Linked DNA regions of Anolis sagrei. The protein of the gene in region 1 interacts with the protein of each later gene in a pairwise test. Links are inferred from orthologs where the notes say so. Each region holds a gene or a part of one and is shown on either strand. Other genes may lie near its edges. The genes, in order: PNKP and ZNF639.

What was found.
Region 2: the proteins of PNKP (region 1) and ZNF639 interact in binary tests that used the Homo sapiens proteins (3 or more experiments, as listed by UniProt). The two-hybrid records come from large-scale screens. The link is inferred for Anolis sagrei from reciprocal best matches to the Homo sapiens genes PNKP and ZNF639.

What each region holds. Positions count from the first base shown.
Region 1 is NC_090026.1:28,271,400-28,287,036, reverse strand, and holds the start of PNKP (bifunctional polynucleotide phosphatase/kinase), read left to right. Parts: upstream 1-8,209; 5' UTR 8,210-8,398; intron 8,399-13,627; 5' UTR 13,628-13,716; intron 13,717-15,637. UniProt on the Homo sapiens protein: Plays a key role in the repair of DNA damage, functioning as part of both the non-homologous end-joining (NHEJ) and base excision repair (BER) pathways.
Region 2 is NC_090023.1:257,413,835-257,429,690, forward strand, and holds the start of ZNF639 (zinc finger protein 639), read left to right. Parts: upstream 1-9,419; 5' UTR 9,420-9,628; intron 9,629-13,339; 5' UTR 13,340-13,503; intron 13,504-15,321; 5' UTR 15,322-15,332; coding exon 15,333-15,390; intron 15,391-15,856. UniProt on the Homo sapiens protein: Binds DNA and may function as a transcriptional repressor.

The DNA.
Region 1 (15,637 bases):
CTATGATCCTCTCATATACTTTATATAGATGACATAGGAGCGAGATTGGCCGGTAGTTCCTGGCATTAGAGGTTTATCACAATCACATGACATCACTCCTCTCTTACCCCTTTGCCAGTGAGAGAAAATGGGAAAACAGTTATTTTACAAACACACATTGCTTCCTTTTATTATCAAAAAGCCTCTCCCATGGCTACCATTTTCTCTCTCCCATGAGCTCACCTAATTAATGCCAAACCACACTGAATAGGTAAGGTTGGATGGAGCTGATAATTATTAGGATTCAAACAGAGGTGTCATTGGGCATGAATTCAATCCTTTCCTTCCCTGCTATGGTCCTGAGGGGGAAAATGTCCTATAAAGCTTCTACAGTATTTCTTTACTTATCGCAGAGGTTCTGTTCCAGGACCCACCACGATAAGTGGCCCTCTGACAGGGAGGAAGGGAAAAGCGCGCCTGCCCGGCCAAGGCCTTCTCTGCCAAAGGCAGCCCTTGCCCTCCTGAGCCTGTCCCTGACCCTGTCCCCTCCGCCTCCAGCACCTTTGGGCCTTGGGCCCGCCTGCATCCCTCTTTGGGGACCAGCAGGTTCTCCTCGCTGGGCACCTTGGCCCATGGCGCAGGCAGGCATGCAGGCCAGGAGGCAAAGGGAGGGAGGGGGAATTCGCTGCAGTAGGAAGGAGGCGCGAATGGGAAAAGAGAAGGCCGCAGGAGAGGGCTCGTCGAAGGTAGTGGTGCTTCCCGTGCCCTCGGTGACGGCCTCCTCCCCTCCCCCTCTTTCCCTGACAGCAACACCTCAGCACCCTCCCTCCATCAGTGCCAATCAATGACCCACAGGCACCAATAAATTCATATTTATTTAAAAATAAATTATTTTAAAAAAACGCAAAATAGCAAGTCTGCATAAAGCAAACTGCGGGGCAGCAAGGGAATACTGTATTTACATTGGAAATTTAAAAAATCCACAAGCTTGATACTTCCATAACGTTGTTGATCTACATATTAGAGTTAGCTTTGTTGATCCATTAGAGGTGCAGTTCTTCCAGTGTGATATTTTACCATTCACATGTTCTCTTTTCTTGCAGACTGAACTTCTTGAAGGGCTAGCATTTACTCAAAAGAGATAAATTGCTCTGGCCTCTGCCCATTTACAAAATCTCAAGCATGTCTCGTTGTCAGAAACCTGTGGAAACCAAACAGACACCAGGCTGTCAATGGATTTGCCACAAGCACTTATGAAGAAACTGCACAGTTCATGCCATCTGTAGCAATCGATCCCTCGGGATTTCAGGGCTACATCACCCTGCACAGAAAGACAGTTACACCTCACTGCTGCACTCTTATCCCCACCGAATTTTTAAAACAGTGTGTGTGTGTGTGTGAAAAGCAAAATGTCCCATGTGCTTTTGCCAATGGAAAGGCAATTCTACAATGTCTTTGGGCTGTGTTAGGCCCAGTAGATAAGCACTTTTCAAATCATGAAGATACTTAGAGCCCCCAGTGGCGCAGTGGGTTAAAAGCATGTGCTGGCAGGACTGAAGACCGACAGGTCGCAGGTTCGAATCCCGGGAAAGGTGGATGAGCTCCCTCTATCGGCTCCAGCTCCTCATGCGGGGACATGAGAGAAGCCTCCCACAAGGATGATAAAACATCAGAAATCATCCGGGCGTCCCCTGGGCAACGTCCTTACAAACAGCCAATTCTCTCACAACAGGAGCAATTGCTCCTGACGCGACAAAAAAAAAAAAAGATCTATATGAACTCCAGTCCTGATTAAAGACATTTAGAATCAAATACCCTCATCTACACACTCCAACCTTCACTTGAAAATTTGCTACCTAGAAACCAAACATGCAAAAACTAAAGGATCATTCTGTGTATGTTTCTGATGGACCATTCTAAACATCTTATGTTTGGACGGAAGGAAGGACTATGAAGTAACTCACATGCTGCAAAAACCCTGTTCTTTCCATTTCTGCAATCAAAACAAGACTGATCTACCTCCTCTAAAGGCTGCTGTGAGAATAAATGTGATATAGACAATTTAAAACCACAACTCAACACAACAGCAGTGCAATTGAATGAATATGTATTCTTGTCTGCTTGCCTTTTGTTAGATTTTCTTTGACAATGTATAATTTATATTTGTGTAATATGAATGAGAATGACTGAGGATCTAAGGGCACGTATCTTTGTGCTCAGAGAGTATCCAGTTCAATGCCTGGTTTCTCCTATAAGAAGTAGACATAGTAGATGAAGGAATGTCAGAAATGTAAGATGAACTCTGCTTGATCAGATCAAAGGTCTACACAACAGAGCATTTTGTTTCCTACGGGTAAGCCAGATGTCTGAAAGGAAAGCTTAAAAGGTGGGACAAAGCACATGCAGCTCAAACCATGGCCAATGCCCTTGTGTGTAGTATGAATCACACCAGGTCAGTCTTTCCTAATCTGATGACCTTTAAATGTATTGGACTGCAACATTCCATGTTGGGAGAATATCCAATTAAAAAATCTAGAGTACACAACTACTGGATCATTGGTTTGACCTAGGCCCCTTCCGCACAGCTGTAAAAAAAACCCACATTGAACTGGATTATATAGCATTGTAGACTCACATAATCCAGCTCAAAGCAGATATTGTGGATTAACTGCCTTGTTATTCTGGTTTATATGGCTGTGTGGAATGGCCCTTAGAATAATAGAGGTGTAAGAGACCACATGTGCCATCTAGTCTAACCCCTTGCCACAATCAAAGCACCCCTGACAGATTGATATCCAGCCTCTGCTAAAAGCCTGTAAAGAAGGAGCTTCCAGTGCACTCCGAGGCAGATCAGGAAGTTCTTCCAAATGTTCAGGCAGAATCTCCTTTCCTATAGTTTTAATCCATTGCTCCGAATCCTAGTCTCCAGGGCAGCAGAAAACAAGCCTGCTCCCTCTTCCTTTACAACATCCTTTCAAATATGTATGCATGGCAGTCATAGGCCCTTCCATACAGCCGAATTTCCCAGAATATCGAGGCATGAAATCCCACATTAGTGTGGGATTGAGTGTGGACTCAGGTAACCCAGTTCAAAGCAGATATTGTGGGATTTTCTGCCTTGATATTCTGGGATAGGGGACTGTGTGCAAGGGCCCCATATCTCCTGTTGTAAAGAAGCTTCCCGTGTTTCTATGGCAATCCACACAAGCACCTCTGAAAATATATGTGTACATAGCCCAAGTTGCCATTTAAGCACAACTGCCTGGCCTTTGATACCTAATCCTAAATTTGCTACTCAGACAGCACAGCAGCCATGGCAACCTCATTGTGACAGGAAGATGCATTGAATGGGGACTGATTAACTGACTGGAGAGCATTATAAGGGAATATCGCAGTGAGCAGGAATTATTGTTAGCTCAACTATTGCCTTCTATTTGCCAATATTCTTGGAAAGGACCTTGGTTGGATCAGGTCCTTTGCAAGCAAGGCAGTTCAAAAATACTCTAGGATCACATAACTTGGGACCTCATCACATGTGCCTTTTGAAGCATCGGGAATTGTCTACTTAGCAATGGAAATCAAACTCCAGTTATATCTTCACTGTCAAGTCACACTGATTATGTCCTTTGTGCCACATTGGTGGACCACTGAGATCATAATTTTGTTTCATTTTGAAGACCACATAAGCCTGAAGTTATCCTTCTTCTAGAATGAATCAGAGAGGAAGCTACACATCTTTCTGTTCATGGTTGGGGATCATTCCCCAATGAGCCAAATACTTTAGGGCTCCTCCTACAGTGCCATATAAAATCCAGATCATCTGCTTTGAACTGGATTATGTGGCAGTGTGGACAAATATCCAGTTCAAAGCCGATAATGTGGATTATCTGATTTGATAATCAGGATTATATGGCAGTGTTGAAGGGGCCTCAGATACAAATTACTTTTTTTCTAGTGGTGCTAGTGAACTCTTATAGAAACAAAAAAAAGGGGGGAAACAGTAGCAAATAGCAGAAGCAAGAAGTCGTGTTATTTTGTTAATTTTGATATTCTGTAAAATATTATTTTTGAAACATTGAAATAAAGTATTTACCAAAAATCAGGATCCTTGAGACGTGCAATGTTTCAAAACAAGAGTTTTCAGTGAGCACTATGGAGGCCCAGATATCTGTAGTGGCCAGGAGGGCCTTTGCACAATTAAAACTTGTGCGCCCACTGTGCTGGTTTCTTGAGAAGCCAGATCTGACCACAATGGTACACGCCTTAGTTACATCCCGTCTGGATTACTGTAACACGCTCAATGTGGGGCTGCCTCTGAAGAGTGCTTGGAAACTTCAGCTGGTCCAAAGAGCTGCAGCCAGGTTGCTCACTGGGGCTGGTTACAGGAAGCAGACAATCCCCCTGTTGCAGCAGCTCCACTGGCTGCCAGTTTGTTTCCGGGCACAATTCAAAGTGCTGGTGTTATGACCTTTAAAGTCCTAGACAGTTCTGGATCTGCTGTTGAAGGAAACAAAGCAAAAGCAATGTGGAAGACTTTTGTCCCATGGATACCTATGATGCCCAGAAGGGAAGTTTGGGTGGCAGGCTCATGGCCTCCTGCTGTGTTCCCGTTAGGTTCTTTGTTGCCCAGATTATGTCCCATCTCTGGTTCTCACACAAGGCGTGGAAGGGGTATCTGGAATTGCTCAAGAGATTGCCCAAGAGGTTACTGCAGTTCATGTACATTTGCCTTCTATTTCATATAGTTCAATAATAATAATAATAATAATAATAATAATAATAATAATGTTATAGTTCATGTGGTTCCTTTGATATAGGCTTCTAGAGGGAAAGAGAGGTGAAATCTTCAATTGAAGATTGGTATCTTGTACAGTTCAAACCCAAGCAAGTGCTACTAACTTCATCTGCTGCTATTTCTAATGGTGGGAAATGGCACCCATAGCATAGGCCCTTGCCTCTCCCAGTCTCCCCCTGTATCTCAGTAATGATGGTCAGTTAGCTGACTCAACACTCCAGAACAGTAGATTGGATGATGGTTGGTGTGGTTATGTGGTTGCTGATAACAGTGATCACAGGGCCCCCAGAGATGCGTCCCCCACGGCATTCCGCTGTTCCCTGCTTCACTGGACAGTAGTGAGGTCAAAGATCCCCTAATGGCCTACCGGTAATCAGAAGTCCCAGAACAAGATGATCTCTGCCGAAGTTCTATTGTTTTGGCCTACAGACCTCCAGCACAGAGTGTCTACACTACTTTAATCCTTAGCTATTGCAGCTGGCTGTGCAGGAGCCAAGGATGAAATGTCCTTCTCGGCATGCGACCCCATACTTCTCTGTATGCAGCCGTATACGGCCACATGTCATTGAAAATGGCTACGCATGTCAGTGCTGATACGCATGTCATTGCTTCACCATCATGAATCTAGGCCAACCCCATCCTCCTTTCCTCACCATCAATGCATAAAGCTCTTTCTGGTTGCATGTGGAGACTTCATTCAAGGAGGCGAGGGACTCGCAGGTCTCGGCCAGGCCACCCTTCAGTTCAACCAGGCCTTGGAAAAACTGGGAGACTTTCACATCCAAGTGGTAGAACTGTGCATTAAGACAGTGGACAGCCACATCCAAGCTGTTCAGACAAGGGATGGGGGAGGAAAAAGAAGGCACCATATAAATTGTGAATGTTCTTGAAGAAGGCGGAGGGTGCATCTACGCTGTAGAATTATAGCGGCTTGACAGCACTTAACCGCTATGGCCCAATGCTGTGGAACCGGGGGATTTGTAGCTGGATGAGGTACCAGCACAATTTGGCAGTAACAGCTAAAGACTTGATAAAGGTACACCTTCCATGAGCCATGACAGTTAAAGTGATCTCAAACGGCATTGATTCTATAGAATAGATACAGCCTGAAACAGAAGTGGGGGGGGGGGGGGGGGAGACTATAGTGTGAAAAAAATGAACAAATTCCTATGCATACTGCACAGATTTCATTTTGTAGTGTGAAGAAACATGAACAAACAATCTTTAAAATGAAGAACAATTTTTTGTTGTCTCTCTTCAAGTCATTTCAGACTTAGTGCAATCCTAAGCCTAAAGTTTAGTACAGGGAGTGGATAAATGACTTCGGAGGGCCACATCTGGCCCGCAGGCCTTAGTTTAGGGATCCCTGCTCTAAACCGATTTTGCAATGCAGAATCCACACAATAAAGGTGTACCAAACTGTGCCTCTCCGGATTTGCTTCCAAATCAAGAAAAATGCATGTAACTCTCTTCCATCTCTTAAGGATACAGATGACATAAGGGAGACATTGGTCGGTAATTCTTGGCGTTGGAGGCATCTTTACCAGGTTTTAAAATGGCAATAACCTCAGTTTTCCTCCATCGTGTGGGAATGTTTCTGTGCCAAGCATTGATTGTAAACGGCTGCTTCCACTGTTTAACACTATTGAGATATCGCAATCTATCGTTCTCAGACTTTATAAATGGGAAAGTATCCATCAGTACTGGACAAACAGGAACCAAGGTTAGATTCACTGGAACTGTATATTGGCAGCCCACCTATAGCTCCATTAACAACACACATTGAAGGGTTGGGCCCAGCCTCCAAGGAGTTCCTTTGCCAAGAGTCATTGCCTCATGTAAGCCGTCCTGAGTCCCCGTTGGGGGAGATGGTGGCGGGGTATAAATAAAGTTGTTTATTATTATTATTATTATTATTATTATTATTATTAAGTGCTGACAATATATTCATCTTTTACATCCATCACAAGGTCAGTATTACTTTTTTTTTCAATCAGAGGAAACAACAATATCCGAAAATCAAGAGATCCCTTGCCCTGCCCTAAGCCCCTTACCTTAAAGGAGATTGACACCAGTTTAAAATTATTATTATTATTATTATCATTATTATTATTTATATTCCGCCCTATCTCCCCAAGGGGACTCATGGCAAGTCACAGTACACATTGTCAGGGCAAAGACAGACAGAACAAAAAGGAGGCATGTTGTGTTGTGTTGAATCTGGCTTTTTGGTACCTTTGGGAGTTAGGCTCGAATCCAGCCACAGGGGGGTGCTGTCGCTCCATCCTCAATGACAAAGAGCCATCAGGACTTCCTCCTTCCTTCTGGTCCCTGGCATTTTCTGATATTTTTACTTTATGGTGTTGTAAAACCACTTTTTTCTTGGGATCTTATGGTTCTGTCCCAAATCACAGAGGATGCATGAGAAAGTGATCAAAGCTAAAACCATTGCTTTCCATGGGATCCATGCCTGCTCCAGGTGATTTATTGCTGTTTGGTGTTTGATTGTTTTGGCAATGAGTGTTTGCCACTTGGTTCTTTTGTCTGTAAACCGCCCTAAGTCCCTTTGGAGAGATAGGGCGGTGTATAAATAACGTATTATTATTGTTGTTGTTATTATTATTATTGCTGGGCCCTGGTCAGAGTTCCCTCCTTTCAGGAGATATTGGCCTTTTTCCAACCCTGGAACATTTTATGAGCTCAGTGCTTCTCCATGATAGGAAAGAGGCTGGGGTGCCCTGTCAAGGGGAAATTTCTCAATGTGAGGAGGTGGTTAGAGGATGAGCCATACTCTCCCAGCCTCAGAGAAAGGCCATGGAAAAGCTCCCTAAGGAATAGGGTCTAACCCCCCCCCCCCTTCAGCCCTGGATGGAGTTGGGCAGGGCACACACTCTCTGTCTCAGAGGAAGGCCATGGCCAAACTCTGTAAGGAAAAGTGACTGAGCACACCCTCTCAGAGGATGGGACCCCTAAACCCCCTGTCACTATCCCTCCTGCCGCATCACAATCACAGCCAACCCCCCTCCCTCAAAACCTCTCCTCCTTGTCATTTCAGTCTGCAGCCTAGTCAAGGATGCCTCTGATATCCAAACCTTCACCACCAAGGCGGCCCATATGGGCCCCTGGAGAACGGGGCGCTCAAAGGGCATCGGAGAACCGGGCCCTAATTTGGGCCCGGAAAACAAATGAGATAGTGGCCCGCAAGGAGCCCCAGTTTTTGCAGCCCCGCCTGTTCCCCGCCCTGGGGGAGCCCAACCCAGGCGGGAGCAGGCCGGGGCTGCCTCGCACCCAGCCCAGGAAACAGGGCCCCCTCCAGCCTCTCCTCCTGGGCAGGAGGAGGGAGGCACCAGAAACTATAGTAGATGTAGGTGGGGCCAAGACCAGGGGCGGGCCACAAAAAGGGAGGCGGCGTGAGCAGGGACCTCTCCGGGCCCTCCTGGCGGGGAGAGAGGTCGAGGAGGGGGCACTGCCAGTCCTCCTCCTCCCCGCCCCCGAGGCCCCTCCTCCCCGCCCAACCAACAACTGGGGCCCGGAGGCACGATCCCTGCTCCCGGCAATCCACCAGCCCGCCGCCACTCCCACCCCGCCCTGGACCCCGCCGATGACCCCATCCAGCCTCTTCTGGTAAGTAAGTACGCATGCGCAGCATTCCCCCTCCCCCTTTTTTCGGGCCATGTTCCAGAAGCATTCTCTCCTGACGTTTCGCCCACATCTATGGCAGGCCTCCTCAGAGGTTGTGAGGTCTGTCAGAAACTAGGAAAACAGGGTTTATGTATCTGTGGAATGTCCAGGGTGGGAGAAAGAACTTTTGTTTGTTGGCGGCAAGCGTGAATGTAGCAATTGGCCTTGATTAGCATTTAATGACCTAGCAGTTTTCAAGGTCTGGCTTCTTATTGCCTCGGGGAATCTTTTGTTGAGAGGTGATTAGTTGGCCCCAGGGCCATAGCCAGAAAAATTTCGGGGGGGGGGGGGGGTTAAGATGGGGGAGGTGAAACCTGCCTCCTAGCTCACGCTGAAGCAAGGAGCACAGCAGGGGGCAGAGCAGCCTTCAATAGCCTCCGGCTCCGCCCCTGTCAACCACCTCCACCAAGTCTGGCCTCCTTAATGAGAGCATTCAACCCTCCCCCCCCAACTTGGTTGCTTCGCTACATGGGCTATTGCTGCAAGTAATGACAGTGTGAATAAATCAATATTTGCTTGAGATAGTGCTTGCAGTTCTGGAGGGACTCTTAATTTTTTGCGTCTCATAGACTTAGCATGGGGATTTGGTTAACCAGTTAAAATTCATGAGCAAACCAGGGGTTTTTTTAACCTGAAAATTGGGGGGGGGGGGGGGGCGGGGGTTGGCCTTGGTTGTTTGTCTGGAATTCCTCTGTTTTTCAGTGTTGTTCTTTATTTACTGTTATGATTTTAGAGTTTTTTAAAATACTGGTAGCCAGATTGTGTTTGTTTTCATGGTTTCTTCTTCCTTTCTGTTGAAATTGTCCACATGCTTGTGGATTTCAATGGCTACATTCACACCTACCTCAAGCAGACAAGAGTTTTTTCTCCCACCTTGGACTTCCCACAGATATATAAATCCCATTTTCCTAGTTTCTGACAGACCTCACAACCTCCGAGGATGTCTGCCATAGATGCAAGTGAAACATCAGGAAAGAATGCTTCTGGAACATGGCCAGACAGTGCAAAAAACAACAACACAACCTTGTTTTGTGTCCACAATTCCTATATAACCTGCATTCGTGATTCCTACAAAGCAGTTCCCTGATCCACTTCCTTAGAGACAATTCATGCAAGGCAATTAGCTTTCTCAGCTGTTAGACCAATATACCTAGATATCTCTTTGTACTGTTAGGAACAAAGATATGCCAATGCACAAAAACAGCAGTTTCTGTGCTTTCGCGCGCTGGGCCTATGACAATGTCTGTTTATAGGACGTGCTTTCTGTATGCCTAACGGGACGCTGGGGTGCCTCAGCTATTATTATTATTATTATTATTATTATTATTATTATTATTATTATCTTTATTTGTACCCCGCTAGCATCTCCCGAAGGACTCGATGCGGCTTACACGGGCCGAAGCCTCAAAACACAATACAATAGAAAACATAACACAACAATAAACAAAGCAAATCAAACAGTTAAGCAAAATAACCACAATAACAATACATCAAGACACTATTAAAACTGGTTCGGCCAGCGCAATGGGGTACAGGGTTAAAAGTGCTGAGATGGCAGGAGGAACGTAGGATTAAAGTGTGGTGTGCAGCAGCATTGGTTGTGCTAAAGTGCTTCTAGGACTTGGGGTGGGGATTCCTAATCTACGAAGGCACATCGGAACAGCCAAGTTTTTAGATTCCTTCTGAAAACTGCTAGAGTAGGGGCCTGACGAAGCTCTTTTGGAAGGGCATTCCAAAGTCGGGGGGCCGCCACAGAGAAGGCCCTGTCCCGCGTCCCCACCAAGCGCGCTTGGGACGTAGGTGGGATCACGAGCAGGGCCTCCCCAGCTAAAGGGTCCCTTAGGTTTCCCAAAACAAAGTTCTGTAGAGGCTCAAAGTAAGTCCAACAAAGTTCTTTATTAAGGTTTAAATTTTCGAACAAATGAATAAAATGCCATATAATCTTCTAAAACTAGTAGTTTTCTTGATCTGCCAACAAGAGAAAGGCAACTGCTTGATAAACTGCTCCTATCTTCTTTAGGGAAACCTTCCGACCCCTCCTTGGGCAATCTTTCTTAACCGTGCTGGCATGAGGCCCCAACTCCCGGCTCCAAGTTGCATTATGGATAGCTCGAGTGGTCCCTTAACAGGCAATGGTTGTTGCAGATCTGCCAAGCTGGTGTCCTTTTAGCTTCTCCACGAAGGCTATGGAACTATTTCTTTACTCTCCAGCAAAACTGTAGAGATTTTCCTTTTTTCCCAGCAAAACCTGGCTGTAGTTCTATATCTTTGGCCCGGCAGAGCTTGCTGTAGATCTGTTTCTTTAACCCCAGCAAAGCTGGCTGTAAACCTAAACCTTTTACCCCGGCAGAGCTGTAAGAAGCGAAGGTGGGGTAGAGAGAAACCCACATGTCCTACTGTAAGGCTTCAATTTGTGAGATGGAACTGAAAATCCCCTTTTCCCTCCAAAACCTGGGGAAAGGGGCAGATATAAAGGCTCTAATGATGATTGATAAGTTATTGGCCCTGATTGCAACCTGGGGAAAGCTACCCAATTGCAAAATGCATGGCCCAGATGAAATTCAAACAAACCAACAGTGCAAGAAAAGACATTCAAATCTCCTGGCACAGCCGTGCCAGCACAGTTTCAGAAGTGTTATTTCAGTTGCCCAAAAACATATACTCTCCCTTAAAACATCTTGGTTTAAATCATGCTCTCAAGAGACCAGGTCTACACAGCAGAGCATTGTATTTCCCAGGGGTGAGCCAGATGTTTTAATGGAAAGCCTAAAAGATGGAACAAGGACAAAGCACATGTAGCTCAAGCCATGGCCAAGGCTCTTGTCTGTAGTGTGAATCACACCAAGCCAGTGCGGTATGTGATCCGCACTTCCAGCATTTGTTTTGCGCTTTCTTATACATTAGTCCTAGTTTCTGAGGTGTCATGTACCACCTATAGAACATTTTCAGCCAGTTTTCTTTCAGGTCAGTTGAGTAGGTGTATTTTATCTTTTTGAGCCAGATCTGTTCCCATTCTCTAAATTTTATGGGTCTACCTATATTGGCTGCACATTTGGTCATGCATACTGGCACGTTTTTCCTATGGTGGACATGTACCAAAGCAAGAATATACTGGAAATCAGTACAAGAAGAATACTAGAAAATGCTGAAGACGAACATTCAGAAGAGACCAGAATATTTCCTTCTAGGGATAACAGATGAAGATACGGATCTAGATCAAAATAAAGGCATTCTGTTCACATACCTAATGACGGCAGCCAGAACGGTGTACACGAAAATCTGGAAATCAAAAGAACTTCCATCCAAAGAAGAATGGCTAATTAAAGCCAGCAAAATAAGAGACATGGACAAACTGGCCTTCTGTCCCAAAGAATCAAAAGGAAGATCAATAAAGAAAACAGATTGGAAACTATTTGCTGAGTCGAATACCCGACTGAAGATTAAGAGAGGATCACAAAGAAAGGTGGCTACAATTGAAACTAAAGAAGAAGACTTTAAACTGAAGAAGAAAACAGAGCAAATTTGATTATTAGCAGGAGAGAAGCCGAAGATATAGAAAAGAACTGAGATTTCTACTCCTACTTCACCAATTTATTTCCTGGCACACGTGGAGAATTAGTTTGGGAAGTCAAGATGTTCCCTCCCTTTCCCATAACCCTACTCTCCCCTTTGTGTGTACCCCCTCCCCACATATAAGTCCCCATTCCTTCCCCAACCATGAGCCTTTCCCACCCCCATAACCTCTCCCCCTCCCTATCATCTATATTTTATTTGTAGAACCAGAAAAGCATTCAATAAAAATCTATATTAAAAAAATGTATTGGACTGTGGCCAGATTGCTAACAGGAGCTCCGTACAGAGAGACATCCACTCCCATGTTGTGGCAGCCCCACATTACCTTGGTCATCACTTTGAAAGCTCTAAATGGCTCGGGTCCATCTTGTCTTACAAACCAGCCTGGGCACTCAGGTCATCAGAGGAGGCCCTGCTTTTGGTCCCACCCCCATCTTAAGCACAGCTGGTGGGAATGAGAGGGCCTTCTCCGTGGTTACTCCCCACCTCTGGAACTCCCTCTCTATAGAAATAAAGTTGCCCCCTTCCCTCCTCTCCTTTAAAAACCAACTGAAGATCTACTTTTGCATACTAGCATATGGAGAGGAAGAGGATTAGATGGTTGAGAGATCATTGCCGAGCCTCTGGTTGAGAATTATTTTTATTTAGGCTTCACTGGTCCACACCAGCCCAACGATCACATAACCAACCTGCAGTTTTTGGTGAACCCTTGATGGCTGTTGTACATTGCTATGGATGTCTTGTTTAGATCTATATTATTATAGAATTTTGTTTGACTATGTGTAATTTAATTTATTGATGTCAAGTTTACGTTACTGATGCTAGGTTTTTAATTTGATGTTAGGTTTTAATGCTATTTTTTATGGCTGGGTGGTTTCGTTCGTTAATTTCGTAATTCATTAAAAATTCGTTATTTTTTTTATAACGAATTGATAACGAACCATTCAGGAGCAACTAAAAATCGAAACGAATTTTTCAATTCTTTTCGTAATTGTTTCGTATTCGTTTCGTATTCGTTTCGTTATTATTTCCGCATGTCTGGGGCAAGTTTTATAGTTGTTGTTTGTTTAATCAGTGAAAAAAAAATTATAAATATCACACCAACAGTCAACAACAGAGGGAGAGGGAAGTTTCAGAAGTTCCCCCTGTCCCATTTGGAGGTTTTTTAGCGTATTGCGCGGTCGCGTCCGCCATTAACGAATCGATTCGTAATTGTTTCGTAATTGTTTCATAATTGTTTCGTAATTTCCGAAATTAAAGAAAAATTTCAGAATTCTTTTAAAAATCGAAACGCAAAAACCCCCCAAAAACGAATCGAGTTTAGAAACAAATTTTTCCGTGTTTGGCCAGCCCTACTATTTTTATATGTGGGGGTTTTTCCGGGATTTTATTCCGAATGATGAGAAAAAGCCTATATATACCTCTACCTGTTGTCTGTCTTGTCATGGTGTAATCAGTGTTGAATGTTTACCGTAGGTGTGTTCTGTGATCTGCCCCAAGTCCCCTGCAGGATGAGAAGGGCGGAATATAAATATTGTCAATAAATAAATATATAAAATGCTAATAGTGTCAACTGTCCTTTTTCTTTCTTCTTGACAGAAAGTGAGACCACCTACCACTTGGGAGCTGAGTTTGGCTGTGGCGGGGACATTGACAGCACTGAGGTATTCCGTGTGACATTCTCGGATGTGAGTCTACAGGGGAAGGGACGGGAAGAAATGAATACTCTCTCCCCCTCACCCCTTTACTGCACTCTCTAATGACCTTCTTAAACTCTCAAGTTCTAAGTGTTGTTGCCCTTCTTCTTCAGAGAGAAGCTTGTGAGGAAGATGGGCCAAGAGAGACTTGAAATAGCCTCTGCTTTGCGTGAAAACATATCATAAAAACAGTGTGAAAGGAGATGAATATTATACACTGGAGCTCCACACACAAGGCTTTACTCTGAGACAGAGATTTACCTCACACTGACTGAGTTCTCAACTGAGACAAACGAACACTAACAGGCTTTGGCCTACTCACTCTTTCAGGGCTTGACTTGTAATCAAAAACACCCAGTTAATATTTAATATTTCTGACCATGTTCACTGTTGTTGTGAATGAGAATTTTTGAAGTGAATGTATAAGGTTTAAAGAAAGTAGATATTAGGCTTGTTTGATTTAAAAAACTTGTTCAAAACTCGTTTCGGATATAAAGGTCGCAGGTGGTTTGATTCGGAAATCAATTTCGATTTTCATAGAAAAAAATGTTCAAAACTTTTTGAAACTTCCGAGACTTCCGAATTCTGAATAATGGGTTGAAAGTCTTATTTCCTGCTTCAGTGAGTGGTCTTTACTTTGAAAGTAGTTGTTTTACTCCAGAAAAGGGGGGGGGGGGGCAAAGGGAGGAAATTCATCCACGCTGGTTTAAAATGCTTTCCAGACTCCAGGCAGAAGCGAGCAGAGAGGAGAGAGAGAAGAAATTCACCACTCTGTTTTAAAACGCTTGCCCAGACTCCAGATGGTCACCCAGCGTCAATAATAATAATAGCGAGGAAGAGCTGAGAAGCCTTCTAATCAAGGTGGAAGAAGAAAGCGCAAAAGCTGGGTTGCAGTTAAACATTTCAAAAAACCAAAATTATGGCAACCAGACTGATTGATAACTGGCAAATAGAGGGAGAAAACGTGGAGGCTGTGACAGACTTTGCATTTCTAGGTGCAAAGATTACTGAAGATGCAGACTGCAGCCAGGAAATCAGAAGACACTTACTTCTTGGGATGCGAGCAATGACAAATCTCGATAAAATAGTGAAGAGTAGAGGCATCACACTGGCAACCAAGATCCGCATAATTAAAGCAATGGTATTCCCCATAGTCACCTACGGATTTGAGAGCTGGACCATAGGGAAGGCTGAGTGAAGGACGATAGATGCTTTTGAACTGTGGTGCTGGAGGAAAGTTCTGAGAGTGCCTTGGACAGCGAGAAGATCCAACCAGTCCATACTTCAGGAAATAAAGCCTGACTGCTCATTGGAGGGAAGGATATTAGAGACAAAGTTGAAGTACTTTGGCCACATCATGAGAAGAAAGGAAAGCTTAGAGAAGAGAATGATGCTGGGGAAAATGGAAGGAAGAAGGAAGAGGGGCTGACTAAGGGCAAGATGGATGGATGGTATCCCCAAGGAGCTGGGGGAGGTGATGGCAGACAGGGCACTCTGGTGTGGGATGGTCCATGAGGTCACGAAGAGTCAGAAGCGACTGAACAAATGAACAACAACACAACAACAACAACTAATAATGATAATAATAATACGAGTTTTCACAACCTGGCCCCAGAAGTTTAGGCAGGCAGGAAGGCAGGCAGATCACTATGAGCAGAGGTCCTTCTCCCCGCTGCATCCTCCATGCTCAGTGCAGGCCAGTGTGGGGAAGGAGGCCAAAGGCGACCTTTGGGAGCGACGTGGCATAGGCCAGACGCTCCGTTTGGACCCAGGAAGGATGGAAGAAGCATGAGGAAGGAGATGGGAAACAGCAACGGGCACACTCGCCAACCGCTTCACTCAGCCAGAGGTGGCTTCACCATGTCAGGTCAACTGGCTGAGAAGGCCTAGTGGCCGGGCAGTAGAGCAGGGC
Region 2 (15,856 bases), on another chromosome or scaffold:
AGATTTTATCTTGAGACAATTTAACAATTAGGATAAAGTCACTAGATGTTCCACATTTACTAATATCCTAAATGCATTTCTGACTCAAATTCTAATTATTGAAACAAATTTCCTTCTCCATTTTAATTGCTGTTCTTATTTGTTTGCTAGTTTTTTCATTATTTCTCATATTTCCAGTAACTAGCTTTTAGCTTTTAGCTTTTAGCAGCTAAATGTCAAAAAAACCAAGATTATGGCAACAAGAATGATTGACAACTGGAAAATAGAGGGAGAAAATGTGGAGGCCGTGACAGACTTTGTATTTCTAGGTGCAAAGATTACTGCAGATGCAGACTGTGGCCAGGAAATCAGAAGACGCTTACTTCTTGGGAGGAGAGCAATGTCCAGTCTCGATAAAATAGTGAAGAGTAGAGACATCAGACTGGCAACAAAGATCCGCCTAGTCAAAGCCATGGTATTCCCTGTAGTAACCTACGGATGTGAGAGCTGGACCTTAGGGAAGGCTGAGCGAAGGAAGATCGATGCTTTTGAACTGTGGTGTTGGAGGAAAGTGCTGAGAGTGCCTTGGACTGCGAGAAGATCCAACCAGTCCATCCTCCAGGAAATAAAGCCCGACTGCTCACTGGAGGGAAAGATACTAGAGACAAAGTTGAAGTACTTTGGCCACATCATGAGGAGACAGGAAAGCCTAGAGAAGACAATTATGCTGGGGAAAGTGGAAGGCAAAAGGAAGAGGGGCCGACCAAGGGCAAGATGGATGGATGGCATCCTTGAAGTGACTGGACTGACCTTGAGGGAGCTGGGGGTGGTAACGGCTGACAGGGAGCTCTGGCGTAGGCTGGTCCATGAGGTCACGAAGAGTCGGAGACGACTGAACGTATGAACAACAACAACAAGCTTTTAATATTATTTCCCCATTTGTTGGATGTTAATATTTCATCTGCCATTAATAAATCCCAGAATAACCCCTAATGTGGTATTAATTTCCCTTTCTTGTGTCCTAATAATATTTGCATCTAAGTGCAGCTCTTATTTGTTTTTACTCTTCCCCTCTCAAAATTGTACTACCTTAAAATTATTCCATTATATATAGTTTGTACATCCAAGCTACCAGTACTAATATCTTTATTTCCTAGGAATCTTAAATAGATGCATAGGAGTAAGATACCAGGTATACCTATTCCAGGAGTATGCCCATATGTGTATTTCTCCAAAGAGCAAAGTAAACAGTGGCTGACTCCAGTATTCCTCACTGAGCATGTGTGAACAGCAACACAGAGAAAATGGAAGAATGGATCATCTTTGCCTCTCTAGCTACCTTCAGCATGTCTTTAAAAGCTATCTATATATCTCATCACAAAAAATAAGTCATAATAAAAGTGTTGGCTGGAGAAAGAAAAAGCTACTCATGAATGTATTTTAAGAAGCTTTGTTAAAGTCTAGAATGGCTTAAGGAATGTTTTTGTTGATTTCTCTAAAACCACAAGACAAATCGTTGTCTCATTTTATAAATGCACATTGTTAATAAAAATGCAGTAACATGTTGACCTGTTGTTCTTTCTTCTGAAGACATTTATCCCTATTCTTTTCATGTTATTTCTGCCTTTGGCACAAAGTACAGAATACTGTTCTATCCTCTCAGCCATCAATGAATTGCATGCGTTCACCTGCCTATCAATACATTGATTTTATAAACTGAATTATGCCTGTAGTACAAGCTGCAGCTAGATTTTGGCTCCAGACAACCAGTTATTTTAGTTAACTCTTGGTATTTAATCAAGTGCTAATTTCTTACTGTACAAATATGACAAGGAATTCAGTTGCACCTTTGAAAATAGGAAGAATAGAATATTTCCTAATTTTTCTTTATCAAACACAATTGCATCAAAGGATTCCTGGATTACTTTTTTCCTTTTTATGTTAAAAAAGACTAAACCAGCTATGCATTGAGTATTTACTGCTGAGCATTGTATGTTGCGATCACCCCTTAGTCAAAATATATTCCCTGTGTCTGGAAGTTCAGCTCCCAGATTTCCCAGGCTAGTGCTAAGGATTACTGGGATTTGGAATTCAAAATATCAAAATTTGAGAGCCTACATGTTTACATTACAATTTAATACACAATTTAATACACAATTTAATAAAATAATGTGCATTATTTTAATATTACTGCTGCTTGTGTGTGTAGGGCAGGACAAAAGATACACAGCCCCTTGGCTTTCATTGTGTGAAAATCAGGTGTGAAACCGCAGCAACAACAACAATTTTTATTTATATCCCACCACCATCTCCCCAAAGGGACTTGGCTGGGGATGGTGACGGCCAACAGGAAGCTCTGGCGTGGGCTGGTCCAGGAGGTCACGAAGAGTCAGAAACGAATGAACAACAACAAGGCACTCCAGGGTGCACATATAACATACAACAGGTAAAAACAGTACGAAAGTATAAAATAAGTCACGTAAGGTTATAACAACAACCCCTGTCAACACATCTAGAATAAAATCAAAATAATATGGTTTTAAAACAACAGTAGATAAAATTAACTGCAGTCAATTCAGAAGGTGCCAAGTGTCAGCTTCATATGGGCCCATTCAGCCTACTCAAGGTCAAAGGCGTGTCTGAACATCCATGTTTTCAGGTTGAAACGGAAGGACTGAAGGGTGGGGACTAATCTAATCTCTTTTTGAAGGATATTCCAGAGCTATGGAGCCACCACAGAGAAGGCCTTCTCGTCCCCACCAGCTGCGCTTGAGACTGTGGTAGGACCTCATTGAGTCGCCTGTTAAGGGCTGAAAAATGCGGTATAGAAATAAAGCAAATAAATAAATAAGGGCCTCTCCTGTCAATCTCAGAGCCTGCGCCAGTTTGCTAAAAGAGATGTGGTCTCAAAGATAGGTTGGACCTGAAGCAAGGTACACTTAGTAATACAAACTGAAATCAGGAGAAATTACACTCCTTTTTTTCCAGCCATGTATGTTTCTACATTTCTATGACTCTTGTCTGGTTTCTGCATTCTCATATCTAGAGTCCCGGGATTCCTAACCATGGATTCCCAAACTATGTTGGACTATTGCTACTAAAAGCCATTTCCATTATGGTTAATCTTCTGAGAGTTAGGGATTAAAGCTTGGAAATGAATGAATATATTCATGTATAAATTGATGTCGCTCATCATTCAAGGGCGGATTTTGATATAACCCATGGACAGGTTAAGCGTCATTTTATGGAGAAGGGAATGCACCACTACTGCCTTGGGCCCACCACCACCTCCCCGGCATTGAAAAAGGGCAGAAGCGGTGAACTGGTGGAGAGAATAGAGGGGATTGGCAGTTCTTTTAGGTTCTCCCAGAATAGACTATGCTTTTGCCTTTTTACGATTCTACTCAGAGAAAGGGATGGTTCCTTTTTTATAAGAGTCAAGGTTCAGTATTTATACTGACTCATGGACCAGTCACCCCAGATGTTTGGGATCTTTGCCTAAAATTTCTGGACTTATACATTAGTATATATATGGTACATTATGTATTAATATTGCTCTAGGCCTTTAAGCTTACCTGATACGATCAGAGTGGCCATCAGTGGTGCCTTTTCAGAACTTTAGGGCTGCTCGTATTGCCTGGCATGCTGCCCTCTTGACTTCTAACGCTCTCTCTGGTTGGCCTGACTGATAGACAGCTACCTGAACCTGAACCTCTGGCTCTGTCCCATCCTGATCTAACAATAAATCTGAACAGAAGAATCCATCTAGCAAACACCTTAGCCAACGGCGTGCCCGAGCTTCCTGTTCTGCGTCCAGACCCGGATCTGGATCCACCTGCACGATGACCCCAACCAATGCCACTGGATTATAGTAGATGCAGTTCTTCAGCTTGTGTAGCATTTCTGCCAGTCGGTCCAGTTGGTCCCAGGACTTTAGGAAAGGAGCTCTGCACAGGAAAAAGATGAGCTGGGAATAGATCCTTTCTTGTTGCCTGGAGCAGCCATTTTCATTGGAGAGGTTCCTTTCAGGCCTTTGGCTTTCTGCTTGATCACAGCAGATCACTGAGCTAGTCACATGGAAAGCTGGAATGGGGAATTTTGCAAACACTTCCTGGCGGAAGTCCTCCACCACCGCTTGGCTTTGGAGCTCCCCAAGCAAGTGGACATTGCCTCCCATCATGAACTGAAGGGTCACAAACTCCAGCTCCAGCTTTTCTTCAAGGGGAAGGTCAGATCTGGTGACAACCCCCAACAAGTCCCTGACTAGCTTGAGCCCTGCTTCTTGATCTTGGCTGTTCTGCCCTGCCAGCTTTCCATGGACTTTCCCGGCATTCTCTGCAACATCTCCCCAAGATCTCCCAACCTGCCTCAAGATCTTTTTGTGAGTTCCTCTTGACCAACTCCTGAGCACTTCCTGGTCTGCCCCAACATGCTCTGTGTTTTCAATCAGGTTTTCGGTAGGTGGCTCAATCAATTCTTCGTGCCTTCCTTGGGGCTGCTCCTTGATCTTTGGCCTGGCTCCTCCAGCTACATCCATGGCAAAGTCGTAATCCCTCCCAATGTTGTCTTCGATGTGTGGTTGAGCAGCTTCATCAAGCACTGCAATCTCTTCCTGGGATCTCTCTACAGTCGTATCCGACTCAGTTTCATCCATCTCTGTGATGAGCACCTCAAGCGTTCCATTGAGCTCTGTGATGTTTTCCTCAGCGTCTGCCTCCTCTTCGATTCCTCCCTCCAGATCCATTCCCTTGAGGCGCCTTCCTCCCCCCGGTTGATTTCCCCAGATCCTCCTGACTATGACTGGCTTCCTGTTACCTACACCTATGGCCTCCCTTGTGTCACAATACACCTTGACCCGACTCATTCAATGCACATTGAGTTTGGTTCAGCTTATGAAAGTCACAGCTATCCCCTTAACATTGTCATGAAATATGATGTATGGTTTGAATGGAATTGTATGAAAGATGTATGGTTGGGGGTCTATATAGTTTATAAAGATGCCATTCTAAGATTGAAGCACGGAAAACTGAGAAGGAGGTGAAGAATTCATGGACGATAATTACAAGTTGTTGGTGGGAACTGTGACAATGATTGTTAAACTTTGGGTAAATAACAACATGTTTACATTTTCAGAGACAATGGCTTGTTAAGTTAAGGAAATGTTTACAAAGTTCCTTACATTAAAAAGGAAGTTAACACAAGGCTCCTTATGTTTACCTACACCAATTAAGGAGAATCAATATCTGCCAGGAACTGGGGAGCCGGGATGTTTCAGGCTGGGAAAACATCATTTACAACTTTGGAACAACATCGGCAAGAAATATTGCTGTATAAGATACCTTATTACAATTCCAAATTTGTTGGAGATCGGAGAAGTCTAGCCCATCCACTGCTCTTCTCCATGGGAAGGAGAGAGAGGTGGTATATTTGGGAGTGGCAGATCTGCAATTAAAAGCAGAAGTCTGGTCACTTGCTTCTTTCTCGGGGAAAGAATGCATTTTGGAAGTATTGGAAAAACAGCAGATTTGCAGGGGGGGGGGAAATCTGGCCTAAGAGGTATTTTTCTCCGTGAGATGAGAGGAAAAGAATGGTGAAGTATGCATAAGGAGGATTGAATGTGTATGTGTGTGGTGTGAATGCTGAGTAAAAATGTAATTCCCCTTTGTTAGCCAATGTAACTGTAGGTTGTTTGTGGATTCAATGTAATTGTATGGAATCTGTACATCTGTATGGCCAATGTCATTCTGATACACTTTCTCATACAGTAAAATTGCAATAAAAAGAACCTATGCTTTAAAGTTATTGAAAAGTTATTCATAACAACATGGGTGGCTGCTATTGTATTCCTTGAAATGATAGATGGGCCTCCACCTGGAGGCCCAAGTTCCCATCATAACTTGAAACATAGCCCTCATCATGTCTCCTCTCAGCCTTCCCTTCAGCAGCTCTTTAAGCAGCTCCTCATGAAGCTTATTCTCCAGACCGTTGATCATTTTAGTCGCCTTCCTCTGGACACATTCCAGCTTGTCAGCATCTCCCTTAAATCGCAGTGCCCAGAACTGACCAAAGCAGAATAGAGGGGGATAGCACGACTTTCCTGGATCTAGACACTAGACTCCCACAGTCTAGTGTCTATTTATTTTTTGAAATGATTTTTTTAGCTGCATGACATTGTTGTCTCATGTTTAACTTGTTGTAAACATGGGTAGCATTTCGCTATTTTTTGTGGTGTTATGTACCACTGATACATCATATTATACCAATTTTCCTTTAAATCCTAAGAGTAAGTAAATTTTAATTTTTGGTTCCATATTTTTCCCAGTCTTCCGATGTAACTGTATGCCTAATATTTGCTGCCTTTTTAATCATGCAGTCTTTCACTTGTTCTGTTTCTGTCGACCATTCTCATAATTTTTTTTTATATTTTAGTTATTAGCTTCTTATGTGTTTTGTCCCAGAAAGTGTCCTTCAAAAATCTTATTTTCTTGTCATTATTGTAGTATTCACTTATTTGTCTGTATGGGAATTAAGAGATATTCTTATCTAATTGTGTAAGTTCTTTAAAGGCTTGGTTACAAAGCCACATTTTCACTCTTGTGGAAGGTCAGAAGAGAGGGGGCTGATCTAACATCGCTGGGGGGAGTTCCACAGTCGAGGGGCCACCACTGAGAAGGCCCTGTCTCATCTTCGCCAATTGCGCCTACGAGAGAGGCAGGACTGAGAGCAGGGCCTCCCCAGATGATCTTAAACTCCACAGTGGTTCATAAAGGGAGATACATTCGGACAGATAAGCTGAGCCAAAACCATTTAGGGCTGTATAGGCTAAAGCCAGGTAGCGGATTGGCAGCCAGTGGAGCTGATACAACGGGGGTTGTACGCTCCCTGTACCTCGCTTCAGTGAGCAATCTTGCTGCCACTCATTAGACCATTTGTAAGGAGGAAAATTTTGAGGGACCGCAAGAAGATCCAACCAGCCCATACTTCAGGAAATAAAGCCAGACTGCTCATTGGAGGGAAGGATATTAGAGGCAAAGATGAAGTACTTTGGCCACATCATGAGAAGACAGGAAAGCTTAGAGAAGAAAAAGGAAGGAAAAAGGAAGAGGGGCCGACCAAGGGCAAGATGGATGGATGGTATCCTTGAAGTGACTGGCTTGACACTGAAGGAGCTGGGAGTGGTGACGGTCGACAGGGAGCTCTGGCGTGGGCTGGTCCATGGGGTCTCGAAGAGTCTGAAGCAACTGAATGAATAAACAAACTTCTGAACAGTCTTCAAAGGCGGCCCCACGAGAGCGTGTTGCAGTAGTCTGTTCAGGATGTAACCAGAGCGTGGACTACCATAGCCAATATATAGGATTTCCATTCTGTTTTTTCAATATTTCTCTGTAGGTGAGCCACGTTTCTTGTCCCAAGTCTCTTCTTACTTACTTACCTAGGCGATCCTTCATTGTCCGAGTAAGATTGTCTTCCAAGATCAGTGTACTGGAGGTGGGGTACGTAGGTGACTGTGGAGCCCAATTCTTGATCTGCATGTTCTCCCGCAGTGAGGGCATTGGTTTCCAGGTGGAAGGCGGTCTTGGTCGGGGTTGGCTTGACGCGCCTTCCTCTTGGCACATTTCTCTCTTTCACCCTCCATTCATGCCTCTTCAAATTCTGCAGAACACCTGACCTCCAGCTGGAGCGCTCAAGGGCCAGGGCTTCCCAGTTCTGTGTCTATGCCAGAGTTTTTAAGGTTGGCTTTGAGCCCATCATTAAATCTCTTTTCCTGTCCTCTAACATTCCGTTTTTCGTTCTTGAGTTCGGAATAGAGCAACTGCTTTGGGAGATGGTAGTCGGACATCCGGACAACATGGCCGGTCCAGCAGAGTTGATGGCGGAGGACCATCGCTTCAATGCTGGTGGTCTTTGCTTCTTCCAGCACACTGCCTTTTGTCCACTTGTCTTCCCAAGAGATTTGCAGAATTTTAAAGAGGAAACGCGGATGCAATCGTTCCAGGAGTTGCACGTGACGTCTGTAGATAGTCCACGTCTTGCAGGTGTATAGCAGGGTTGGGTGGACAATAGCTTTATAACCTAGCACCTTGGTATCCCTACGGATGTCCCGGTCCTCAAACACTCTCTGCTTCATTTGGAAAAATGCTGCACTCGCAAAGCTCAGGTGGTGTTGTATCTCAGTGTCAATGTTGACTTTTGGGGAGAGATGGCTGCCAAGGTAGCAGAAAAGGTCAACATTTTCTAATGTTACACCATTTCTAATGTATCTCTGGCATTGGAGAGGGATTGGCTGGTGACTGCTGGAAAAGCACTTTGGTTTTCTCCATGTTCAGTGATAACAGGCCGAGCTTCTCGTATGCTTCTGCGAAGGTGCTTAGAGTGGCTTGTAGGTCTTCTTCTGAATGCGCACAGACGACGTTGTCATCAGCATACAGGAGTTCTATAACACGTGTTGTTGTAACCTTGGTTTTGGCTTTCAGTCTGCTGAGGTTAAACAGCTTGCCATTCGTCCGATAGAGAATTTCCACTCCGGTGGAAAGCTTCCCGTCAACAAGGTGAAGTATCAAAGCGATGAAGATGGAGAATAAAGTTGGGGCAAAAACACATCCCTGTTTGACACCGGATTCCACCTTAAATGGGTCACTTTGGGAGCCATTGCTGTCCAAGACTGTTGCCATCATGTCATCATGGAGGAGTCGCAGGATGTTCACAAATTCACAGCCAGCCCTGAGGTCAAAACCTTCTAATGTCAAGATTTTTGTTTTGTTTCGTGTCGACCAACCTTTAGCTCAAGCCAAAGGCCTCATAATATAATTTAAGATCTGGTAATCCAAAGCCACTGCTATTTTATTTTTGAAATGATTGTCAGCTCTCTGACAACTGTATATCATTCCTTGTTGAGGAGAGAGTGTGGCCTTTGAGGCCTTTCCAAAGGGAGCGCCTCCTCCTTTATGCCTCAATGAGCGTGCCTAGGGGGGCGTGGCCAGGGTGACAGGAATTCGTAGCCTTCTCAACCGCCTGGTGCGAGGGGGCGTGGCTAGCTGCAGAAGCCCCGCCCCTTTCTCGTGACAGGAATTTGAAGCCTTCCCAACCGCCTCGTGGGGGCGTGGCTAACTGCAGAAGCCCCCGCCCCTTTCTCGTGCCAGGAATTTGAAGCCTTCCCAACCGCCTCTTCCGGGGAGGCGTGGCTAGCTGCAGAAGCCCCGCCCCTTTCTCGTGACAGGATTTCTAAGCCTTCCCAACCGCCTCGTGTGAGGGGGCGTGGCTAGCGGCAGAAACCCCGCCCCTTTCTCGTGGCTGGGATTCGAAGCCTTCCCAACCGCCTCGTGCGAGGGGGCGTGGCTAGCGGCATAAGCCCCGCCTCTTTCTCGTAACAGGAATGCGAAGCCTTCCCAACCGCCTCGTGCGAGGGGGGCGTGGCTAGCGGCAGAAGCCCCGCCTCTTTCTCGTGGCTGGGATTCGAAGCCTTCCCAACCGCCATCCTCGCGGGTACCATTCCGAGGTACGGCAAGGGGGCGTGGCTATCAGCAGTAACCACGCCTCCTCTCTCCCCATTGGCTGTGCGTGGCCTGCGTCCGTCCCTTTCTGCTCTCCCCCTCGCCCTCGGCGCACGTCTCTTCCGTTCCGGCGTCGCTTCGCTTGCGGCCTGCTCAAGGTGAGTCCTGCGGCGCTTCCTCTCACTTCACGAGGCGAGGAATTGAAGGGAGGGCCCGCTGTGTCTTTATTTGGAGCTTAGTGACTGCCTGTGGACATTTGATTTTGGTCGATATTTGTGGGAAAGCGGGAAGAGCCATTCCTCGGACCCAGTCCTGTTATTATTATTATTATTATGGCTGCTGTTGATGATTCTTCAAATGGTTATATATATAGATATATAGATGATATATTTGAACTATATTATTATATATACGACGACTTATGATATACTATAATATATTATGTAATACGAATACTGGTAGTGTATGATATATATTGTGATATAATAATATAGTACAATATAGTAATATATAATATAAAATAATAAAGAGTAATATATATATATATATATGTATATATAATATAAAATAATAAAGAGTAGAGACATCAGACTGGCAACAAAGATCCATTGCCTGGTCAAAGCCATGGTATTCCCTGTAGTCACCTACGGATGTGAGAGCTGGACCTTAGGGAAGTCTGAGCGAAGGAAGATCGATGCTTTTGAGCTGTGGTGTTGGAGGAAAGTTCTGAGAGTGCCTTGGACTGCGAGAAGATCCAACCAGTCCATCCTCCAGGAAATAAAGCCCGACTGCTCATTGGAGGGAAGGATACTAGAGACAAAGTTGAAGTACTTTGGCCACATCATGAGGAGACAGCAAAGCCTAGAGAAGACGATGCTGGGGAAAGTGGAAGGCAAAAGGAAGAGGGGCCGACCAAGGGCAAGATGGATGGATGGCATCCTTGAAGTGACTGGACTGACTTTGAAGGAGCTGGGGATGGTGATGGCCGACAGGGAGCTCTGGCGTGGACTGGTCCATGAGGTCACGAAAAGTCGGAGACGACTGAATGAACGAACAACAACAACAACAAATATAATAACTGTATATTATATATTCTAAATCTTCAAGGCATTTTTGCCTTGAAAACCCTTCCTCCCGGATCTGTTTTAACTATCTGGATTTTTAAAAATCCACTTTATAGAGTGCCTGATCTAATAGAGAAAACCAATGTCTTTTCTTGTCTTGTACAATATTAAATATTGACAAATTTATTACCTTTTATCTATATAAAAATAAACATGTAATGTTCGAGTGTGGGATTAACATAACTCAAAAACACTGGACGAGTTGACACAAAATTTGGACACAATACACCCTAACAGTCCAACAAGTGTCCATCACCCATAAACACACACAGACACAAAACCCCAGTGGAACAGACTTAAAAAACCTAAAAATACACCATATATACTGTATATTATACACACAGGCATATACTTATGCACATGTACACATTCATACACACATATATCCACATTTATACATATATACACACAAATATGCATATAGACAAGCACACACATATACACAATATGCATGTACACATATAAACAAACAAATACACAAATATATATACACACACACACACATATATATATATATATATATATACGCAAACGCACATATATACACAAATATATATTTATTTACTTCATTTATATACCGCTTTTCTCAGCCCTTAGGCGACTCACAAAACACATATACACAGACTGGGCCACAGCAATGCGTGGCAGGTGACGGCTAGTATTACTAATAATATTGCAGTATAGTGTAGTCTAATAATATATTATATATACATATAATATAGATAATATAATGTAATATAAGATAATACAATAATGATACAGCCTAATAATTTATATGTGTTATGGTAATAATATAATATATTATATATACATATAATATAGATAATAATATAATGTAATACAATATAATCATACTGTAAAATTATAATAATATATTACATATAATACTACTGTATACGAACCCACATGATCTCTTTGATCATCTGGGGAGGCCCTGTTCTCGATCCCACCAGCATCGCAGGCGCGATTGGTGAGGATGAGAGAGAGGGCCTTTTCGGTGGTGGCCCCTCGACTCTGGAACTCACTCCCTAAAGACATCAGACACGCTCCAACTTTGGCAGTCTTCAGGAGGAAGTTGAAGACGTGGCTGTTCCAGTGTGCCTTCCCAGAATAATGATCCCATAGCACTTTGTCCTCCAAAGCCCTTTACATTTTCTAAGTCTGCTCGTATGCCCTTTCACAAACACCAGTATCAACTTCCGTTCATGTCCCAGCATATTTCCAATTTTAACTTTACATTTGGCCTCCCCTCTGTTTTTAATTGTGTGTTATTTTATTGATAATGTTGTTTATCTTATTGTCTATGTTTTTAAATTGCTTGTATTGTTGTTTTATTGCTTGTATTGTTGTTGTTGGGCTCGCTGGTGTAGGCCGCACTTAGTCCCTTGGGGAGATGGTAGCGGGGTACAAATAAAGTTAATAAATAAATAATAATAAATACTGATAATATATAATAATTTATAATGATAATACTGTTTTCTTTTTGTATATTTGTATATTTTAAGCTGTAATGTTTTTGATTGTGAGCCGCTTTGAGTCTCCGAATGGAGAGATATAGTGGGACATAAATAAATAAACCTGATCTGTGAGTAACTAGGCATCAAACTGTGTTGTGAAAGTAACCGTAGCTACTCAAGAATAAGGCATCTTTCCAGATGAGTATACTCAGAGGTAATTGTGCGAAAGAGTGCAAACATAATATCCGTCTTGCCTGGAAATCAAGCACAAAGGTCAGAGATGAGAAACAAGGTTCGCAGTGATTCAAGAGGCCTCCTTCAGACAGCGATAGGGGGGTGAAAGGGAGGTGTTTATTAAATCCATGTTCAGAATAAGAGAAAAGGCTGTGTGTGTGTGGCTATACACTTAAAACATTGTCTAAAACAGAAAATGTCTAAGAGCCACACTAGCTGAATTGTTATCTAGATTTTCTTTTTTTGGTTTGTTTCTTTTCCAGTGCCATCTTGTCATCTTCCTTTCATTTTTTTTTTCGGGACCTTTTATAGAAAAACATCTGCCTTTTTTCTGCCAAGGTTTTTTTCATTGATTTTATTTTAATTGAGATTTTTTCCATCCTCCCTTAGTAGAAGTTTTTATTATAAAAAGATATCTGCAGCTGTCATATCTATTAAAGCAAGCATCAGTTATGTCACTGCTTTCTCCATACTCCCCCTAGTTCCAAAGTGAGAGCTGAGTCCTGATATGGTTGAAATGGACTAGGCCCCTTCACAGTATCAGTGTAGATTTCCTCTCTAGCCAAACAGAATTTTCATGTTGATGTCCTTCCACCAGCAAGAGCATGATCTTTTAGCTTTCTTTCCAATTTTTGCAATCTGGCATTGTTTATGTTGATCTCCAATGAACTCTTGCCCATTCCTTCAGTGTCCTTGTAGTTTGTAAACTAAGAAATTACAATACTATTTTGCCCGTTGATCTGTATACAAGAATTCAGCCTCTGAGAAGCTTTTTTTGATGCAAATGAAATAAAGAAAAGGTGCACACACTCAGCTTTTGTTTCAGAGATGAAGGAAAAGAATCTTCTTCGTGGTTACTTCTTGTATTCTATATGTAATGTACTCTGTCACATCTCTGTATTTGCCAGAGTATTCAACATTTATAAATACTTCCAGAATTAGAAGGGATTGTTTGTGCATGTTTATACACAAAAGAATATGTGCAGCATAAAGTGTTATAATCTGAATTAAACATTTGGGATTTGTTTGTGTGATTGTGTTTCTCTCTTTTTAGATGCTTCATCTGTTGTCAGAAGCTGTGTAGTCAACAGTCCTTCTGTTCTTATTTCACTTTTCGGTAATGAAGAGTCCATCTAATAAGCTGAAAGACCTGATTATATAATCATACGGCAGAACACAGTTAAAAGTGGTGTACCAAGTGGGTTTTTTTTTAATCTGGTATGTTTTCAATTATGTTTTTTATATTTATTCTATGTATTTTAGATGTATTTTAATTGTTTTTACTTTTCTAATAGAATATTTTTAGCTAACCTTCTGTTTTATTTTAAATTGTATGTCACCCTGGGTCCCTTGGAAAGAGAAAGGCGGAGTATAAATGAAACCAGATACATAAAAGAATAATTAGTGCCTCCTAGAAATTAGCTAAACTGGCATAAAAGTCTCACAAGTGTGCCTTGTGAATAACGCCCTAAAAATTGTGGATTTGTCATTTAAAATTGGGAGCCATCTAGATGGGATTGCTATACTGGAAGGAGAGAGGCTTTTTCAAAATTAAAACAAACCGTTAAGGGAATTGCTACCCTCCCTGTAGACATCAGACAGGCGCCCTCCCTTATGACATTCCGCAAGAGACTAAAGACGTGGTTGTTTGAGAAGGCGTTTGACTAAGTGCTACAACAATTGGCAATGATGATTGGAACGGAATATGGATAACGAGATTGGATTGTGATTCTATGATGAGACTCGTGAATGATTTAGTGTAATTGTATTATTGATAGTGATGTTGTTGTTGTTTGTGATATTGCCTTTATTGTAAATTGTTTTTTTATATATGTTGTACACCGCCGTGAGTCGCCCTAGGGCTGAGAACGGCGGTCTACAAATGCAGTAAATAAATAAATAAATGGCAGATAAAGATGCAAATGACATTTTGTTCCCATTGATTTTTCATCAATGTTGGGGAACACAGGCTTGTTTTGCCACAGCCATTAACGATAAAACCTTTTTGTTATATTTTGTTTCATTGTTGTCTTTTTAAATCTCACAGTGATAGATATTCTGGGAAGGTTTTACAGAAACCTTACATATTTGTGTTCAATAAGCTTTAGAAGAAAAATCAACCCAAAAAACCAGAAATGACTTACAGGTCAATGTGTACTTTAACTCTTGTCAAAAAGTAGGAATGATCCCCTAAGCAAGAGCTTAATCTGTTCTGGGAGAACCTGAAAGAAGCAACCAGCCTTTCTACTCTCTCTGCCATGAGGCCACTTCTAGCGTTTTTGGATGCTTGAGTGGGAAATGAGGGCACTGACCAGAGGAAGCTGGCTCAGAGTTGGCATTGATGCTTTCTCCTCTCTGCAGAATTAAATGACATTATGACATTCCTACTGTTGTTTCTGTTGCTGTGTAATTTCCAGCGTTCTAGCTCCTGCGTATCAGCAAAAGCCAAATTAATTGGATATGTCATCCATCCTCTGAAACATTAGCCTAAATCAATTTGTGGATCTCAGCTAGACTCCATGAGCACTTACTGTGTAGATCCCATTGATTCATCCGGTCTGTTTTAGTTAGGACTGACAGTTGGAGTCATACCCCTGTGACTGACAGACCAGTCTCCCAAAAATTCAGGTCATCTCTGTATGAACAGTGAGTCCTTGATGTCTTCTGGGATTTGGTTTTAGAACTCCCTGTGGATACTGAAATCTTTGGATGGTTAGGTCCATTATATACGTCCTAATAAAATTGTGCCCCTTATATAAAATGGCAAAATCAAGGTTTGCTTTTAGATATTTATAATATTTTCAAACAGTAGGTGGTGGAATCCGTGGATGCAGAATCTGTGTTCACAGAGAGCATGATGATCTCTCGCCTTAGTGCTTCTTTTTAGACAATATTGGATCTTGCTAGCAGTCAGACTAATCATGTTGGTTAATTACTGGGGGTGTCCTAATTCCTGATCTTGGTGGTTGAGACAGCTTATCTGTATCTCTTCACATTGAAAGAAAGAGCCTTAACAAGTTCTTTCAACTGTTTCAGACTGAAGCAAAATGAATGAGCATCCGAAGAAGAGAAAAAGGAAAACTCTACATCCTTCCCGTTATTCAGGTTAGTTAGGAACAGATATGTTTGCTTACTTAAATGGTAATGCATTTTACATTTTCTTCTGAGCATACTAGTTAAAGATAGAAATGGATAGCAGAAGTGAGAATTACGGTAACTGTTTAAGTAAGGATAGGCAATATCTGTGTGAGGCTAGACAGCACTAGGAGCAAGCTTCATGCAGCCCATGGAACGCTTTTCCCAAGCCTGGTTCAAGCAAGGCACTAGTTTGGATTTATATATTGTTTTTACTACACTGTTAATTTAAAATGAAAGTTTATTGAATCTGTAAACTATGTGTAGAGAGCCAGTATAGTGTAATGTTTTGAACACTTGGGCAGCCTAGAGCAAGTCGCTCTCTCTCGCCCTCAGAGGAAATCAGTGGTAAAGCCTACCACTTAGGGTTGCCATAAGTCAGAAATTATATAAAGATACAAAACAAAAATATGGGGGCTGTTATATATATATAGTT